5 linked regions of the Macaca mulatta genome follow. The main gene of each other region encodes a partner of the protein of the gene in region 4 in a complex. Links are inferred from orthologs where the notes say so. Each region holds a gene or a part of one and is shown on either strand. Other genes may lie near its edges. The genes, in order: KANSL3, PHF20, OGT, KANSL1 and KANSL2.

The links.
Region 1: KANSL1 (region 4) and KANSL3 share a complex: the UniProt entries of both Homo sapiens proteins name them as parts of the NSL complex. The link is inferred for Macaca mulatta from reciprocal best matches to the Homo sapiens genes KANSL1 and KANSL3.
Region 2: KANSL1 (region 4) and PHF20 share a complex: the UniProt entries of both Homo sapiens proteins name them as parts of the NSL complex. The link is inferred for Macaca mulatta from reciprocal best matches to the Homo sapiens genes KANSL1 and PHF20.
Region 3: KANSL1 (region 4) and OGT share a complex: the UniProt entries of both Homo sapiens proteins name them as parts of the NSL complex. The link is inferred for Macaca mulatta from reciprocal best matches to the Homo sapiens genes KANSL1 and OGT.
Region 5: KANSL1 (region 4) and KANSL2 share a complex: the UniProt entries of both Homo sapiens proteins name them as parts of the NSL complex. The link is inferred for Macaca mulatta from reciprocal best matches to the Homo sapiens genes KANSL1 and KANSL2.

Annotation. Positions count from the first base shown.
Region 1 is NC_133418.1:5,266,594-5,270,113, reverse strand, and holds part of KANSL3 (KAT8 regulatory NSL complex subunit 3), read left to right. Parts: intron 1-203; exon of another isoform or gene 204-228; coding exon of another isoform or gene 229-270; intron 271-1,934; coding exon 1,935-2,066; intron 2,067-2,961; coding exon 2,962-3,078; intron 3,079-3,307; coding exon 3,308-3,409; intron 3,410-3,516; coding exon 3,517-3,520. UniProt on the Homo sapiens protein: Non-catalytic component of the NSL histone acetyltransferase complex, a multiprotein complex that mediates histone H4 acetylation at 'Lys-5'- and 'Lys-8' (H4K5ac and H4K8ac) at transcription start sites and promotes transcription initiation.
Region 2 is NC_133415.1:88,781,168-88,784,687, forward strand, and holds part of PHF20 (PHD finger protein 20), read left to right. Parts: intron 1-2,434; coding exon 2,435-2,577; 3' UTR 2,578-3,520. UniProt on the Homo sapiens protein: Methyllysine-binding protein, component of the MOF histone acetyltransferase protein complex.
Region 3 is NC_133426.1:78,015,584-78,019,836, reverse strand, and holds the start of OGT (UDP-N-acetylglucosamine--peptide N-acetylglucosaminyltransferase 110 kDa subunit), read right to left. Parts: upstream 2,807-4,253; 5' UTR 2,611-2,806; coding exon 2,574-2,610; intron 1-2,573. UniProt on the Homo sapiens protein: Catalyzes the transfer of a single N-acetylglucosamine from UDP-GlcNAc to a serine or threonine residue in cytoplasmic and nuclear proteins resulting in their modification with a beta-linked N-acetylglucosamine (O-GlcNAc).
Region 4 is NC_133421.1:70,930,596-70,933,133, reverse strand, and holds the end of KANSL1 (KAT8 regulatory NSL complex subunit 1), read left to right. Parts: intron 1-231; coding exon 232-459; 3' UTR 460-2,027; downstream 2,028-2,538. UniProt on the Homo sapiens protein: Non-catalytic component of the NSL histone acetyltransferase complex, a multiprotein complex that mediates histone H4 acetylation at 'Lys-5'- and 'Lys-8' (H4K5ac and H4K8ac) at transcription start sites and promotes transcription initiation.
Region 5 is NC_133416.1:55,813,115-55,815,650, reverse strand, and holds the end of KANSL2 (KAT8 regulatory NSL complex subunit 2), read left to right. Parts: intron 1-375; coding exon 376-495; intron 496-917; exon of another isoform or gene 918-1,054; intron 1,055-1,265; coding exon 1,266-1,397; 3' UTR 1,398-2,030; downstream 2,031-2,536. UniProt on the Homo sapiens protein: Non-catalytic component of the NSL histone acetyltransferase complex, a multiprotein complex that mediates histone H4 acetylation at 'Lys-5'- and 'Lys-8' (H4K5ac and H4K8ac) at transcription start sites and promotes transcription initiation.

The sequences.
Region 1 (3,520 bases), on a different chromosome or scaffold from region 4:
TAATGGTTATAATTCTCTAATTTCTCATATAGAAATCCATTTAGTGTCTCTGTTTTTAAATTAAGAGCAACTTATCTTCTGCTATTTTTGGAGTTTTACAACTTGCATCAAAACCGTAGTACTTTTTATTCTCCAATTTTTCAAAACCTTTTTGTTTTTCTGAAAACTGCCTCTAATATTTAAACATTTTTCCTTTCCCCTAGGTCATTTTGACCTTTTGTGGGTAGCATGGAATTCGCAGATATTTCTTCTCAGATATTTCTTCTCAGTGTAAGCATCAACATGTCTGAAACTTATATTTGCACATCTGTAATGTTACATTTCTGGTAGATGGTAAAAAACAGACATGAGATAAAGTACACTGTACATAGCATAGCAGGATATATATTTTTGTACATAATAACAGGTTTATTTAGTACACCACAGCTTGAAAGCAGTACTCTAGAAGAAAATGGAGATTAAACAAAATTATAAAATCAACTGACACTCATTGAGGAAATTTAGGGAACATAGAAATCTGTAAAGGAAAAAGTCACCCATAAACTCTCTAGAGATCATTATTAACATTTTGGCTTCTTTTTTTTTTTTTGAGACAGTCTCCCTCTGTTGCCCAGGCTGGAGTGCAGTGGCGCGCTCTTGGCTCACTGCAACCTCTGCCTCCTGGGTTTAAGTGATTCTTCTGTCTCAGCCTCCTGAGCAGCTGGTACTACAGGTGTGCAGCATATTTTCTTAGTCTTTTTTCTGAGTAGAGATAATTTTTTTCTTTTTTCTTTTTTTTTTTTTGAGATAGTGTCTCACTCTGCAGCCCAGGCCGGAGTGCAGTGTCATGACCTCAGCTCACCACAACCTCCACCTCCTGGGTTCAAGTGATTCTCGTACCTCAGCTTCCCGAGTAGCTGGGATTACTGGTGTGCCACCACGCCTGGCTAATTTTTGTATTTTTAGTGGAGACAGGGTTTCACAATATTGGCCAGGCTTATCTCGAACTCCTGACCTCAAGTGATCTGCCCACCTTGGCTCCTAAAAGTGCTGGGATTACAGGCATGAGCCACTGAGCCCAGCTTTGAGTAGAGATAATTTTTATATTTTCTATTTTACCTGTAACATTTTGGCAAAATTATTGCTATATGTTATTATGTATTCTTGTAAATATTTGAAAGCTGGGCTCAGTGGCTAACGCCTGTAATTCTAGCACTTTAGGAGGCTGAGGCGGGTGGATCATTTGAGGTCAGGAGTTCAAGACCAGCCTGACCAATAAGGTGAAACTCCATCTCTACTAGAAATACACAAAATTAACTGGGTATGGTGGTGCACGCCTGTAATCTCAGCTACTTGGGAGGCTGAGAAACAAGAAATTGCTTAAACCCAGGAGGCAGAGGTGGCAGTGAGCCAAGATCAGGCCACTGCACTCTAGCCTGGGTGACAGAGCGAGACTTTGTCTCAATAAATAAATAAATAAATTCTTGTAAATATTTGAAAATAATTGTTAATATCCAATTAGGTAGATAGTTGACTAAACTACTCCCTTACGTATACATACATATATTAAATTGTTTTTACTTTATTATTGTTCATAGTTGATTTGTCTCTGTGCATAACTCTCCTTATCCTTTTGTGTGTGTTTTTGTTTCTGATATGTTTTCTTTGGAAAGGTTCTCAGAAGTAGAAACATTTGGAAAAGGGATGGGAGTACATTTAAGTCCCTTGCCACATATCCAGACTGCTTTCCAAAGGATTGTACCCATTCACTTTTCATGGTGGGAGCATACTTTTCGCCCGTTTATTTATATATACTGCTGCTCCTGAGGAGGTTTTTAGAGGCTTAGTTGAAGTCTGTCTGGCTTCTAGTGGGGCCCTGCTCTTCTGCTTGATTGCTGATGGTGGCAGGTCTCCTGCTTTACACTGGAATCAGCTTTGCTCTTCCTTCTTTGTAGATCCCAACCTTGATTGACCGGATGCTTGTGTCATCCAACACGAAGACTGGGGCTGCAGGAGCTGAGGCCTTGTCTCTCCTACTGAAGAGGCCCTGGGACCCTGCTGTGGGCGTGCTTTCTCATAACAAACCAGTAAGTTGGATGGCTCAGGACTTAACAATGGCACATACAAATTTTAGACTCAAGCCTTAGAACCTTGGCAGGAGGATAAATGGCTTCTTTAACTATTTTTTGTTGTTGTTATTATTATTATTATTATTATTATTTTTTTTTTTTTTTTTTGAGACGGAGTCTCGCTCTGTCGCCCAGGCTGGAGTGCAGTGGCCGGATCTCCGCTCACTGCAAGCTCCGCCTCCCGGGTTTACGCCATTCTCCCGCCTCAGCCTCTCGAGTAGCTGGGACTACAGGCGCCCGCCACCTCGCCCGGCTAGTTTTTTGTACTTCTTTTTAGTAGAGACGGGGTTTCACCGTGTTAGCCAGGATGGTCTCGATCTCCTGACCTCGTGATCTGCCCGTCTCGGCCTCCCAAAGTGCTGGGATTACAGGCGTGAGCCACCGCGCCCGGCCTGTTGTTATTATTTTTTGCGACAAAATCTTGCTCTATTGCCCAGGCTAGAGTGCAGTGGCATGATCTTGGCTTATTGCAACCTCTGCCTCCCAGGTTCAGGCAATTCTCCTGCATCAGCTTCCTGAGTAGCTGAGATTACAGGCATGCACCACCATGCCTGGCTAATTTTTGTGTTTTCAGTAATGACAGGATTTCACCACGTTGGCCAGGCTGGTCTCAAACTCCTAACCCCAGGTGATCCGCCTGCCTCGGCCTCCCAGAGTGCTGGGATTGCAGGTGTGAGCCGGTGCGACTGACTGGCTTCTTTAACTATTACTAGTAATTTATTTTGTATAGTGCTTAACATATTTCACAAGCAAAGGAGCATTGGTTGGGATGAGAAAGGTATTGGGATACTTGGAATTTCGTGGAAGAAAACTTCTCACTCACTGGTTTTTGGGTGGGATCCTTCCTCTTTAGAGCAAACTCCCTGGCTCTCCACTGATTCTCATCGCCTCCTCTGGTCCCTCCAGCTCTGTGTTTCCCACTTCACGCCGCCACCGCTTCTGGCAGTCTCAGCTCTCCTGCTTAGGCAAGGTATGTGTGGGGGCAGGAGGAACTCCCTCCTGGCAGGGAATATAGTCTTGGAGAATTGAGGAGAAGAATATGTGGGAGGGAGGTCAAAATGGATAACTTGAATGTGGAGCCTCCTCTAACCCTTCTTTCATGTGGAATTCCAAGGTTGAAAGGGTTTGGGGTAGGTCAAACAGAATTGAAAGATTTGAAACTTACCTCTGCTGTTGTGGGGGCTACTTCTTTCCTTCAGGTCATCCCTGTAGCCACCCATCTGCTGAACAATGGCAGTGGGGTAGGAGTTCTACAGTGTCTTGAGCATATGATTGGGGCAGTGAGAAGCAAAGTGCTGGAGGTGAGAACGCCCCTGTTTCAGTGCACTTGGCATACCCAGCATTCTGGGGTTGTTCTGCTCCCATCTTTGGCCTCCTGTCTTACTGTCTTCTTTCTCTTCCCATGAAGATTC
Region 2 (3,520 bases), on a different chromosome or scaffold from region 4:
TCTCTCTTTGATTTTCCTTTTGCCTCTGTCTCTTCCTCTTTCTCTCTGCTTCTGTCGTTCTCTCTCTCTCTCTCTCGTTGACTCCCTGTCTGTATCTTCCTCTCCGTCTCTTCCTCTCTCTCTCTTTGCCTCTGCCAGCCGCTTATGCTGCTGTTCTCTGAACCACCGTGTGTTGGGGGCGGGTGATCTAAAACAAGCTGGTCTGGGTTTCCTGGCTTACAGGTTACCTTGTGCCATACCTTTGAAACAAGGGACCTGTCCACGCTTCCTTCTAATGGCCAACCTACCTCTAATGCTGGCCAGTCTTATCTTACACAAAGTTTTAAATTTTCCTGGTGTCATAGTAGTCCATAGTCTCCCTTAAATCCTTTTTTTGAAAATTTTCAACATAGTTCCTAGTGGGGTGGGCTTACTTTGTGCCTCTCCCATGTTTCCTCTAGACAAAACATCACGCCCACCACAAAACAAATGGGTAAAAAGGGGACACACACACTTTTGTAGTTTACACCAAACCAAAATCAAAACCAAAATCAGAGTATCCAGAAATCCAAGCCAGATCAAAACCAAAACCAAAATATCAAGCAATCCAAGTCAAGTCAAAAACAAAAACCAAAGTGCCGGTACAGGCACACCGTGGGTGGTCAGGCCACGCTTCCACGCAAATGGAGTAGGCAAGTTCCCAAGACCAATCCTGTCAAGCAATTCAAACCAAGTCAAAACCAAAACCAAAGTGCCGATAAAGGCACGCCGTGGGTGATCAGGCCACGCTTCCACTCAAATGGAGTGGGCAAGTTCCTAAGACCAATCCTATCAAGCAATTCAAACCAAGTCAAAACCAAAACCAAAGTACCAATAAAGGCACGACATGGGTGATCAGGGCACGCTTCCACTCAAATGGAGCGGGCAAGTTTCAAAGACTAGTCTTACCAAGTTTTAGATGTCCAGGCTCCAAGCGCCCATTCCTTCCTGGTGTTCAGCCACTGCATTGATCCTCCACGGGGGCCTGCCACACACTGCTCTGGCGAGGCGTCCCACCGGGGCAAATGCCTACCCGGGAGCGCTCTCAGGATCGGCTCAGGATGGGCGTCGCTCAGGCTGGTCGGAGTTCCCCGCAGGGATACGCAGGGATATTCCACAGGGCAGGCTTAAGCCGCCTAAAGAGCTGCTTTGACCATCCACCGTTCACCTCGCTTCCCAGTCAGGGAACCAAGAAATGTAGCAGGACGGGCGGCAGACAAAACTCCCCAGACACCGAGTTAAAGAAGGAAGGGGTTTATTCGGCCGGGGGCATCGGCAAGACTCCTGTCTCAAGAGCCGAGCTCCCTGAGTGAGCAATTCCTGTCCCTTTTAAGGGCTCACAACTCTAAGGGGGTGCCTGTGAGAGGGTCGTGATTGATTGGGCAAGCAGTGGGTATGTGACTGGAGGCTGCATGCACCGGTAATTAGATCGGAACAAAACAGGATAGGGATTTTCACAGTGCATTTCTCTACAATGTCTGTAGCCTATAGATAACAGAACCAATTAGGTTGGGGTCGATCTTTAACTACCAGGCCCAGGGTGCAGCACCAGGCTGTCTGCCTGTGGATTTCATTTCTGCCTTTTAGTTTTTACTTCTTCTTTCTTTGGAGGCAGAAATTGGGCATAAGACAATATGAGGGGTGGTCTCCTCCCTTAATTAATTAATTTATTTATTTATTTATTTTTGAGACGGAGTCTCAGTCTGCTGCCCAGGCTAGAGTGTAGTGGCATGATCTCAGCTCACCATAACCTCCACCTCCTGGGTTCAAGTGATTCTCCTGCCTCAGTCTCCTGAGTAACTGGGATTACAGGCGCGCGCTGCCATGCCTGGCTAATTTTTGTATTTTTAGTGGAGATGGGGTTTCACCACATTGGCCAAGATACTCTCGATCTCTTGACCTTGTGATCTGCCCGCCTTGACCTCCCAAAGTGCTGGGATTATAGGCACGTGCCACCGCGCCCGACTGGGAAAGCTTTTTAAAGAGTGAGTAGTAACACTCAGAAAGGTGCTTCCTTCCGAGACTCCTAGACTCTGGTAACAGTAGCCTCTGGCAATGTGTGGCTGTTTAACCAAAATTGAATAAAATTTAAAATTCAGTTCCTCAGTTGCACTAGCAATGTTTCCAGCGCTCAATAGCTGCATATGGCTAGTGGCTACTATATTGGATGACACAAACTCGCACCATTTCCATCATCGCAGGAAGTTCTTTTGGACTGTGTTGCTCTAAAGCATTTGAGTTTTGTCCTGGGAGTACCACTTTGCAGAGCAGGTGTTGACACAGTGTTGGCTGAAATGGCCCTTCCTCCCTTGCCCATGAATGGTCTAATGGAATAAGGTGCTGAAATGCTTGCTGATGTTCTTGCAAATCAAGTGTTGGGAGCTCACTGGGTCTCATTTCTCTCTTCTGCCGACAGTGTTGGAGAGCTGGCTGGACTACACTGGGGAACTGGAGCCCCCTGAGCCACTGGCCAGGCTTCCGCAGCTCAAGCATTGTATCAAGCAGCTGCTGACGGACCTGGGCAAGGTGCAGCAGATCGCCCTCTGCTGCTCAACATGAAACTGGGCACCCAAAACTCATGGGAGCACAATCCTGGGGCACCTGCAGGAGGAGCTTCGCATATTTAAATAAATAAACCTAGCATGCTGAATGCACGTGACACCAACTGACTTCAGGGATCTGGGCCAGGAGTGTGATGGACATTGGACAAAGAGGCCATTTTGGCTGTGGGAGGACACTCTGATCTCGAAGCCTACCATAAAGGTAGCAAATAGACTCGGGATTCCCTTCTTCTGTGCACATCATTGAATGAAGGGAGTCTTTTTGCACAAACTTCACTTGAAATCGTGCCACTGATGATAAATGGAATGAGAGCCAAAAAAGTTTAGTTGGAGACAGTTGTAAATTCAATTTGCAGTTTATTTAATTGACTTTTCTGTCAGGTTTGGGCACATGCCACCTCCCTGGTTTCTTCCTGGCATGGTGTTTGGGCAGCAGGCATCATTTTCCTTTTCTAGCTTCATGGGAATGTTGTGAGCTCACCACGCTGTGGAGGTTGGAAAGGAGCAGAGTCTTGGCTGCCCTGCTTTCTCCTTAGGACTCTTCACTTTTCTCACCACATCTCTTGCATGACTTCATGGTACTGGGGACAAGTTTGTATGCTTTCACCCCAGAGCTGGCTGTGTTATGGCTTTTGTAGCAGAGCCCATACAGCCTATGGAAGAACTAGAATCTCACAGTAATAAAAATCTAGGAGGAATTCCAAACTGAAGCAGGCAGGGTCTGGAACCCAAAGGACAGCATTTTCTACCCATTTCTTAATATTGACAGCTTCCCCGTTCTATTTAATGTCCAAAAATGTTTCCCAAAATTTCAAACTCTTTCACTGTAAAGATTTGTTACAAAGAATGTGGTTTGGGGAATTACCTTATTTTATATTGTTGTAAACAAACTTCAAATTATACATGTGCCGCTTTTCTCCTTCCTGAAGGGTATGTTCAGT
Region 3 (4,253 bases), on a different chromosome or scaffold from region 4:
AAGGAATATTTACTTCCAAATGAGATTACATTTTATGACCAAAAATACTTTGTACTTTTAAATTATAAATCATAGGTAGCATCTAAGGATTCACCGAACATCATTCCTTATATCTTAGTTTACATACAGAAACAAAATATTAAACGTGTGATTTGCAAGGTCACAAAGACTTAATAATACCAGAATAACATATTGGAAAACTTAATATTTTGTACCATATTTCAGGTTGGATTTGTGGAAGTGGAGTACTGGTAACAATCTACCAGTCTTAACCTCAGTAAGGACACCAGATGTGTTAACTCTTTAAATTCTATCAATGTGTTTGTATATTTCACAATTTAATTCTTTAAAAGGACAAGTAGAAACGAGCCTAAGGGAAAAACCAAAAAGTCAAAGTGCTATTTTTAAAACAGCTGATAAACAAGATGTTTGTCATTTGTCAACAGCCAAAATAGTTAAAGGGGTCATCAAACATTTTAAATAAAGACCCAAGATTTTACTGCTCCTCTACCATCCCAAACTCACAAGGAGACTAAATTGGCTAAATCCCACCCACGTTGGTTTAGCACTAACATTTTCCAAAGAGCTCTGGTATTGACTAAAGGATTAAGACAGTGCAAACAAGCCTATATAAACCAGGCAGTTATCTGCAACTGCAATGGTCAAAACGTTGGGGAGGAGGGGGGATGGACGCTAAAATATAAGATATTTGATAAAGCGCAACATAACGAATAAATAAAAGCACTTTGCTGCAACTGACTTAATCCAGATACATCAAGATCTTTAAAGGATATAGCTAAAGCCCAAAGAGGGGAAAAAAACTGCTTGTCACAACTGTAAATACTTAAACTGGGAATTCGACCGTAGCACTTCACTAGCTGGTTGAAATGGGAAACCATGGACAAATTTTTTAATTCTACCAAGGTTAAGGTGACGAGTTCAAACTTGAGCCCAGCTCCCCAATCATTAGAGCTGATGAGTGTTCTCTGGATACTGAGGAAAGCAAAGTAAATTTCCTGACAGAATGCACAGCTGACCACCAACACAAAGAGCACTGAGACTGGCATCCACATCTGGGAGAGGTTATCTCTCTAATAGAAACTAAAATTACATTTTAGCTAAGTTTCTAGAACTTCCTAGCTCCTTGTTTTCACACATTACTTTGTCACTTTTCAATGCCGCTTATCTATTTTAACACTTGAAACGACAGCTTCCTCAAATAAAATAACACATTAAAAAGGGCAAGCTAGTACAGAATCTCAAACCTTTGAAAATCACGGTGGAGAAGTGGGGAGAGGGGCACGGACTAATTATTAATCCCACTCCCTACGATTACGGATAAGATGCTATGGACGATTCACCTACTACTTACAGCACAACTTCCAGAAACAGGAACTAAAACCCTCCACACATCTCAACTGAGAAACAACCAAAAAATAACCTCGCGGGAAACCTCAGAAGCGCAGCCCAATTCCCCACCCCCTTCCGCCCAAATCGACTCAATATGGAAAGGCAGCTGAAGGACACTCCTATAATTTGGTTGTTTTCGTATTTTTAGTACCAAATGCTCGCGACTGAATTGTCTAAAAGGGCAACCGCCTTGTACTTGTGCAGCTACACTCCAGTTGCTTTACAAACTCTTCAAGCAGGGATGGAAACTTAAAAAAATATTACACCCTATGAATAAAGAGATGCTGGGCTAAAGAATGGGGATGGCAGACCCAGAGGCGGCGGCGGAGGAATACATCGAGAAAGTAACACAAAGCGAGAATTGGGCGGGCAGGGTGGTCAACGCCAAAGCAGCAGCGTCGGGGTGGTTTCTCCCCCAAGGATAGGAAGTGAACAGTAGGGCTGGCAACCTCGCGAAGGGAAGGGTGTGGTTCCCCGAGGACAGGGTGGGAAATCCAGGCTGAGGGCAGCGGTGGAATTGAGCGATGGCAAAGGAAACCCCTGGAAATTTCCAATCTAAACCGGGACCGCTCAACCGAAAGAACACCAGAAAGGCACTGCCTAGCGGGGTGCTGCTCAACGTCCCCTCTTCTCGAGGTGACTTGTGGCACCATCGACGAGCTTTTGCTCGTCCTCGGGTGATGCAAAGTGAGGATACGATTACATCGGAACGGCACCCCCGCCCTAGATTGGCAGAGAAGGACCAAATCTGGCTAAGGGGAAAAGGCTGGAGGGGGAGACGGAGGGAAAAAAGGAGAGGTGAAGAGCTGGAATTAGGGGAGAAAACCGCTGCAAAGGAGTGAAAGGGCAGGGATTCCAATGCAGTCCATTCCACGACATTCTAAGCGCGCACGTGTGATAGAAGCGCCCAGAGAGAGTGGAAAGCTACAACATTTACGAAATAAAAACAAAGCAAGAAAGGGAGCAAAAAGCAAGCAAAGCAGGAGGAGGAAATGTTCGGGAAGCGGACGACAGCGGAAAACCCGATCTACCACGAGAAGCTCAGCAATGTCACTGATGTAATGGGGATGGTTCGAGGTAAGGGAGGGAAGGAGTGATACAAGGTAGAGGACGGCGCGAGACCCCAAGGGGGCATCTGCCAAGGTAGAACGGGACACCGGTACCTGTGCTGTCGGCCACGTTGCCCACGGAAGACGCCATCTGGAGCTTCTCGAGGGAGAGCAAAAAAAAGGTAACTGGTCCTGCTGCCGCCACTACCGGCAAGAACGTATTTGGAGGTAGTAGTACAAGGGCAGCAGCCGTAGCAATGCTCTGGAGGGCTTCAGCGGCGGCAGCAGTTACAGGCTTCGAACCCTGGGAACTCTAGTTGGCCATCTACCTAGTACGGTCTTGAAATGGCGGCGACGGCTCCTCGGCCGAAACAACACGGGCCGGAACTACTTTCTGTTACAATCAAGTGCCCGCGCGGAGGTAGCCGCGGTAACCAGCGCCGCCAACAAAATGACTTCAAGCTGCAAAGTCGAGATTCCATGTAGCCCTCCGCGCAGCGCCCATTGCGACAAACACCACGGTGGAGACGGCGCATGCGAGCAGCCCTGTCAACCCGACTCGCGGTTAGGGCACTCTCCCGGGCGGAAGCGGCTAAGTTTCTTAAGAGTGTAGCGGAAGGGTAAAAACAAACAAACACACACACGGGGAGAATACATTTTTGCCACGGCGATAAAGAAGAGTCTGTTTGTTACTTAGCAGGTGGTGTCGTTTTAAACATAAACGCCAAAGGCGTCTAAAAAAGTTTGTCAACTTTATTCGTACAAAAACGGATGGTTACGACTCTCACGGATCAATTCCGATCCAGTCAATTCAGAAGATTGCCTCGCAAAGACAGCTGCTCCAAACTAGGAGCGAGAGGGTTCCTATTGAAGCCGTCTTCATTGTGACTCGGCCATCGATTTCGGCACTTCGATGAAAAAGACTGAAACTTTCACGGGGCCAGTTGAATGGAGACACCTCCAATGTTGACCGTATAGCCCGAAATTTCAAAATCGTTTTGGTATTCAGAAGACTCCTGCCCACAGTGATAGGGCAAATGCTTAATAACTCAGGGACATGCCGGGGGTTTGCACTCCGAAGGCAGCCATAAAAATGTTAAAGGTGATTCATGTTCGTCAAAATTCATGACTCTCCTCCGAGTTGTGACTTCATTTCAACCAACTAGCTCTGCGGATTGTCACAATCGGCGATTCCACTGAGCTCAAAGCAGATCAACAATGATAAATGAATTCACTTGCCATCTGCCTAAAACCACACGTCTAGATTTAGTCATGAATTGCCTCCACTTCCTTGAACAAATGGGTTCTTATGATCCTCCTGCAGTTTCAAGTCTACTGTTCAGACATTTTGTCACATTGGCATTTATACCTCACGTCTTGTTCTAGAAACGATTTAAGGTAACTTGCCACATCAGCAAGAAATTATTACAAGCCACTGGAGGCTACAAGTTGGATCTCTGAGAGCCTTTTTATTTCAAAAAGTCCTTGATCTAGGAAAGCAGGTCAATGAATTTCTTCAAAAAGTTTTTGCTAGGGGGGAGGGATAGCATTAGGAGATATACCTAATGTAAATGACAAGTTAATGGGTGCAGCACACCAACATGGCACATGTATACATATGTAACAAACCTGCACGTTGTGCACATGTACCCTAGAACTTAAAGTATAATAAAAAAGAAAAAAAAAGTTTTTGCTACCTAGCCCCTTCACTACATTGTTTGATAAACTAAATCCTCAAATTCTGCTTAAATTTCTTCAAAACAGTCAACAAACAATTAATTATGGAAATAAGCA
Region 4 (2,538 bases):
AAGGGCCGCACTTAAATTGACCTCCTCAACATTCAGTGGAACTATATTTATCTTTGCTAAATGGTCAGTACGGTTGTCTGGGTACACCCTAGGAGGGGTGTTCCTGGACTGTCCCAGGAACGCTAGATAGACTGGTCCTAGTCTCCGGCCACAAGGTTTGTGGCAGGGCCTTGGAGCAGGAAGCAGGCTGGCTGGGTCTGGGTCCTCACAGAGCAACTTGTCTGCCTACAGTCTGTCCAGCCCTGGGAGCGGCGGACCTTCCCCCTGGCGCACAGTCCCCAGGCGGAGTGTGAGGACCAGCTGGATGCACAGGAGCGAGCAGCCCGCTGCACTCGACGCACCTCAGGCAGCAAGACTGGCCGGGAGACAGAGGCGGCACCCACCTCGCCTCCCACTGTCCCCCTCAAGAGTCGGCATCTGGTGGCAGCAGCCACAGCTCAGCGCCCAACTCACAGATGAGCGGGAGACAAGAATCTAAACAGACTCACTAACTATTGGCATTAAAGCTTCAGAAATCTCTGCGTTTGATATTCAAACATCATATGCCGGAAATTTTCACAGTTTTTAGTGAACTTAAGGAATTTAGATCCTACTTTGGTATTTTTTTCTCTCGTTTTAATTTTTGTTTTTTGTTTCCATGTTTTCTTGTCACACACCTGAGCACTTCCTCCCGTTGGCAAACAGAAGTTCAGGATGAGACCCTGCTGGCCTGGTCCTGGCACATCCTCTGCACTGTTGAATCACTGGACTTACCAATCTTAGATGACCACACCCCCTCCCTCACACCTGTGGGCAGGGCAGAACAGCCTGGCGGGCAGAGGGCTCCAGTTGAGCATGGCCTTCTCGGGCTAGGGTGGAATGGGGCAGGGTGCTCTGGGCTCTTACCCCTTCCCCTCCCATCTGTGGCTGGGCTCAGCTGTGGCCCTCCTGGCTGGGTCCCCCCTTGGTTTTTCGTGCTGGAACATCCCCACCAGAGCCTCTCTGCCGTAACTGCCAGCTGCTCTCACCAAGTGCTCAGCCGGCAGAACAGCTTTCCCTTCTCACCCAGAACTTAGAGACCTATTTTTTGTTTCATCTGCATTTGGTCTTCTCTGTTTTGACTCTTTAACTGCAGTAACCTGGCTGTGGCTGCTCAGGTTCCCTTCATCATGCCCCTTGGTACCCTTCCCTGTCCGTTCTCCAATGCCACATACACACCCACAACCCGTCCTTCCACTCGGAATGTTTTTTTTACCACCTATCCTGATCTCTGAAGGTAGGGTTAGGACTACTTAACCTCTGTTCCCACTCCCCTGCAAACGGGGTTGTGGGAAGTGAGCAGCCATCTCCCTGTGTGATTTTTTTTTTTTTCTCTGATTCGCTTTGCCATGTTTCCTTCACATCCAGATCCCTGTCGGTGTTAGTTCCACTCTTGGTCTTTCACGCTCCCCTTGCCTGTGGAACATTGTCTGGTCCTAGCTGTGGTTCCCATTGTTCCCCCTTCACCCTTCTCTGTTAACCTTGTGCCTGTCTCCTGTATGATCACATCACCAAAAAGGGGGAGGGGGGAGAAGACTTTTTTTTTGGCCATTTTGTAATCGTATAAAAATAGTAGACAACTGCTTAATGGTTGGGGTTTTTTCACAATTTTCAACATTAGTGATTTTTTTTTTCTGTTTGCAAGTTAAAGGGTTTGTCATTGTTTCTTTAAAGAAAAAATACAATAATGCACCATATCCCTATGCATAAAGTGCTTCTTCTATTTATAAGGTTGAAAATTCTGAATAACCCTTTTAGCATTGAAAAAAAAAAAACAAAAACAAAAAATGAAAAAAAAAAAAAACTTGTATTTTGTAAATATTTTCTTTTCCTGCTTTGGAGCTGTGTAATGGCAGCGAAACATGTAGCTGTCTTTGTTCTATAGAAATGCTTTTCTTCAGAGAAGCTGATCTTTGTTAATGTCTTGATTCTGTTCGCAAAGCACAGACTAGTGCTTAAAAAAAAAAGAAGGAAAAATTGAAAAAAATAAAAAAAAAAAAGTTACAGAATGCTGTGTACCAGGCCTTTCTTGACTTACTGAACTGTGTATGTATGGTAGTGTTGGCAGCTTCGGAGCTGGCTGGCTGGTGCCATTCTTTGAGGTACTCTAACTTGCTCTATACCTTGGGAAATCTCCATTCTGTCTTGTGGGAATGCCGCAGGTTCATCTGATGGCCACCAGAGAGACAATGGTGGTGGCTTTTCACTGAGGGTAAGGGCTGCCAGGAGGTGAGGGGATCTGTATTGATCGTCTCCTTTTTCTTTTTGTTGAGTGAAAGCAGTTGATCCACTTTCTCTCTAGTGAAGTCAGCTGTATGATATTTTCTCTCCGTTCTACATTGCTCTTTAAAGGAGATTTTGCTTCTCACCGTTAAATTTTTCTGAGGTTTGGTGGGGGTCAGTGAGATAGATAATTTGCATAGAGCCTGAGTTGGTTCTTGCCTGCTGCCTGAGATTATAGCATCTTTCTTCTGAGGAGGTTACATGCTTTTCTTTTTTTATTTTTTGAGATGGGATCTT
Region 5 (2,536 bases), on a different chromosome or scaffold from region 4:
TGCGCCTGGCTGATTTTTGCAGTTTTTGTAGAGACAGGATTTCACCATGTTGCCCAGGCTGGTCTTGAACTCCTGGGCTCAAGCGATCTGCCTACCTCGGCCTCCCAAAGTGCTGGGATTACAGGTGTGGTGGCCAGAATTGTGTTTTTTAATCCACTATATTGGTCTATGTTTTACACTTGGCAGCAAAAGCTCTCAGTGCTCTTGGATCTTGTTTCATTTGTTGGACGTTCTGGTAAAATTTTTTTTTGATCAAAGGTAGGCTAGGGTTGAGGGAGACAGCAGAGTATTGCTTTAAAGTTTGCTGAAAAACATACCACCTTTATTATTGTTTCCCTTGGTATTGCTGATGGGCTTTTCTCTCTTGTTTTCTAGGACTTGGATGTTGTGGGTGATGGTATGCAGTGTCCTCCTTCACCTTTGCTTTTTGATCCTTCACTAACCCTTGAAGATCATTTAGTCAAAGAAATTGCTGAAGACCCAGTGGATATTTTGGCAAGTGAAGAACAATCCCACCTGTTTCCCGCATGTAGAGACCTGGCCAGGCAGAGGGTTCCCTGCTGGATAGCATGTACTCCTGGAGGGGAGTGGGGTGTCATCACTAGTATAAAGACGCTCCACATGTCTCTCGCTCATTGAATACCATATAAGCAAAGCACTTTTAAAAATGCCCTACTTTGCTCCTGTATACCCTTGTTGCTGTAGTTCTCCAGATAGACTCTTAGAACACCTAATGGCCCCTGATCCTCATATCCCAGAGTAGGACATAAATTTATTTAAATAAAAGCTTGAGATAAGGAATCTAGGTAAACTGTACCTTCTGAGGGAGAGTTCAGCACTGAAATTGTTCTCATTATAGAATGACCAGTAAAGTAGTGTGATTTGAGTTCTGTCTGTGAACCTTGGGTAGAATTCCAGTGGCCCTGACTGAAAACCAGCAGTTGTACTGTAGCTGTTGGTTTCAAGCAGAGGCCTAAAGGACTGTCTTCCTATGGTCTGTTGGCTGTTCTGGGACCTCAGCAGGGAATGGCTGTTTCATTTGGAAGAAACAACCTACAGCTCTCCAACCCATTGGAAGAGGCTCAGGAGTAGGCTCTTCCAAGGGACAGGGATAGCTAATATAGGGAGGAGCATCTGTCCAGAATTAATTAATTTCTGTTGTATTTTTCTTATTGCTAGTATAAATGGCCACTGATAAGTCAGATTCATACTTCAGACCACAGTGAATGAATTTCTAACTGAAGTGCCTTTATTTCTTTTAACAGGGCCAGATGCAGATGGCTGGAGATGGGTGCAGATCCCAGGGATCTCGAAATTCTGAGAAAGCCTCTGCACCATTGTCTCAGAGTGGATTGGCTACTGCAAATGGGAAGCCAGAACCCACTTCTATTAGTTGATAGTTTGGGGAACCATTTTACTTTGGTGGATTTAAATTTCTCATTCTTCAAAGAAATATTTCTGATCATCTCTCACAAAACACAGGCAACCCAGACTATCTTGTTTTTCTTCTGGATTGAGTATTATAGTCAAAAGTAAAGCCAAATTTTGAGGACATGGACCAATACTTCTTAAGAGTTGTGGGTTTCTTCCCACTCAGGGCAAGGAAGAGAGATAATCCCTATCAAAGCTTCTGGGATTATTTGGTACTATACCTAAAAGGAAAGTGACATCTTTGTAATGGGATTTCCAAAGTCATGGATAGAAATCCACTTAAGTAGCTAGGTGGGAGCTGTCTTTGTGAGTAGTGTCTTTTAGATACTGATGGCCCTAATATCTGGTTATCTCTATCTAAAGACCTGCAGTTTAACTTTTCTTCACCTCTACTTAATTGGGCAATCTTTAACCTGTTTCCGTGGTGAACTCTGGCTTTTATCCTCTGAGAAAACAGCCCACAGGACTGGGTCCTCCTTATCCATCTTGCTTTTAACCTATGTAAATTTCTGTGGTTGCTATCTTATGTAAAATATAGTACAAATTTATTGTATATAGTTTCTATTAAATGTTAAAGAAAATGTTATGAAAATATCAAACAGTCACCTGAATTGAATGCATGTTTTGTTTGAGAATATAGTCTCTCTTTCGCGGTTTTAGGGACCTGTCTCTGATGGGAAAGGGAAGTTGGGGCAGATAATACTTCCATCCCAGGAAAAAATAAATCTTCAGTAGCTCATTTTGGTTTTGCTTTTAAGGAAGAAGTAAATGAAAAGGGGCAGGACTTATTAAAGCCAATCAGTTCCAAATATCTTCTTTCTACCCTTCCACTCTGTGTCCCCTACTCCCACTCCCATTTCTCACGATTAATGCCAATGTCATCTCTGCTAGGTGTGGTGGCTTACACCTGTAATCCCAGCACTTTGGGAGGCTGAGATAGGTGGATCACTTGAGCTCAGTACTTCCAGACCAGTCTGGGCAACATGGTGAGACCCTGTGTCTATATTTTCAAATTTTAAATAATTATTTAAAAAAACAATAATGCTCATGCCATCTCAAAATTCTCTAATGGTAGGAATATACTTAAAACATAAGAGAAATTGGG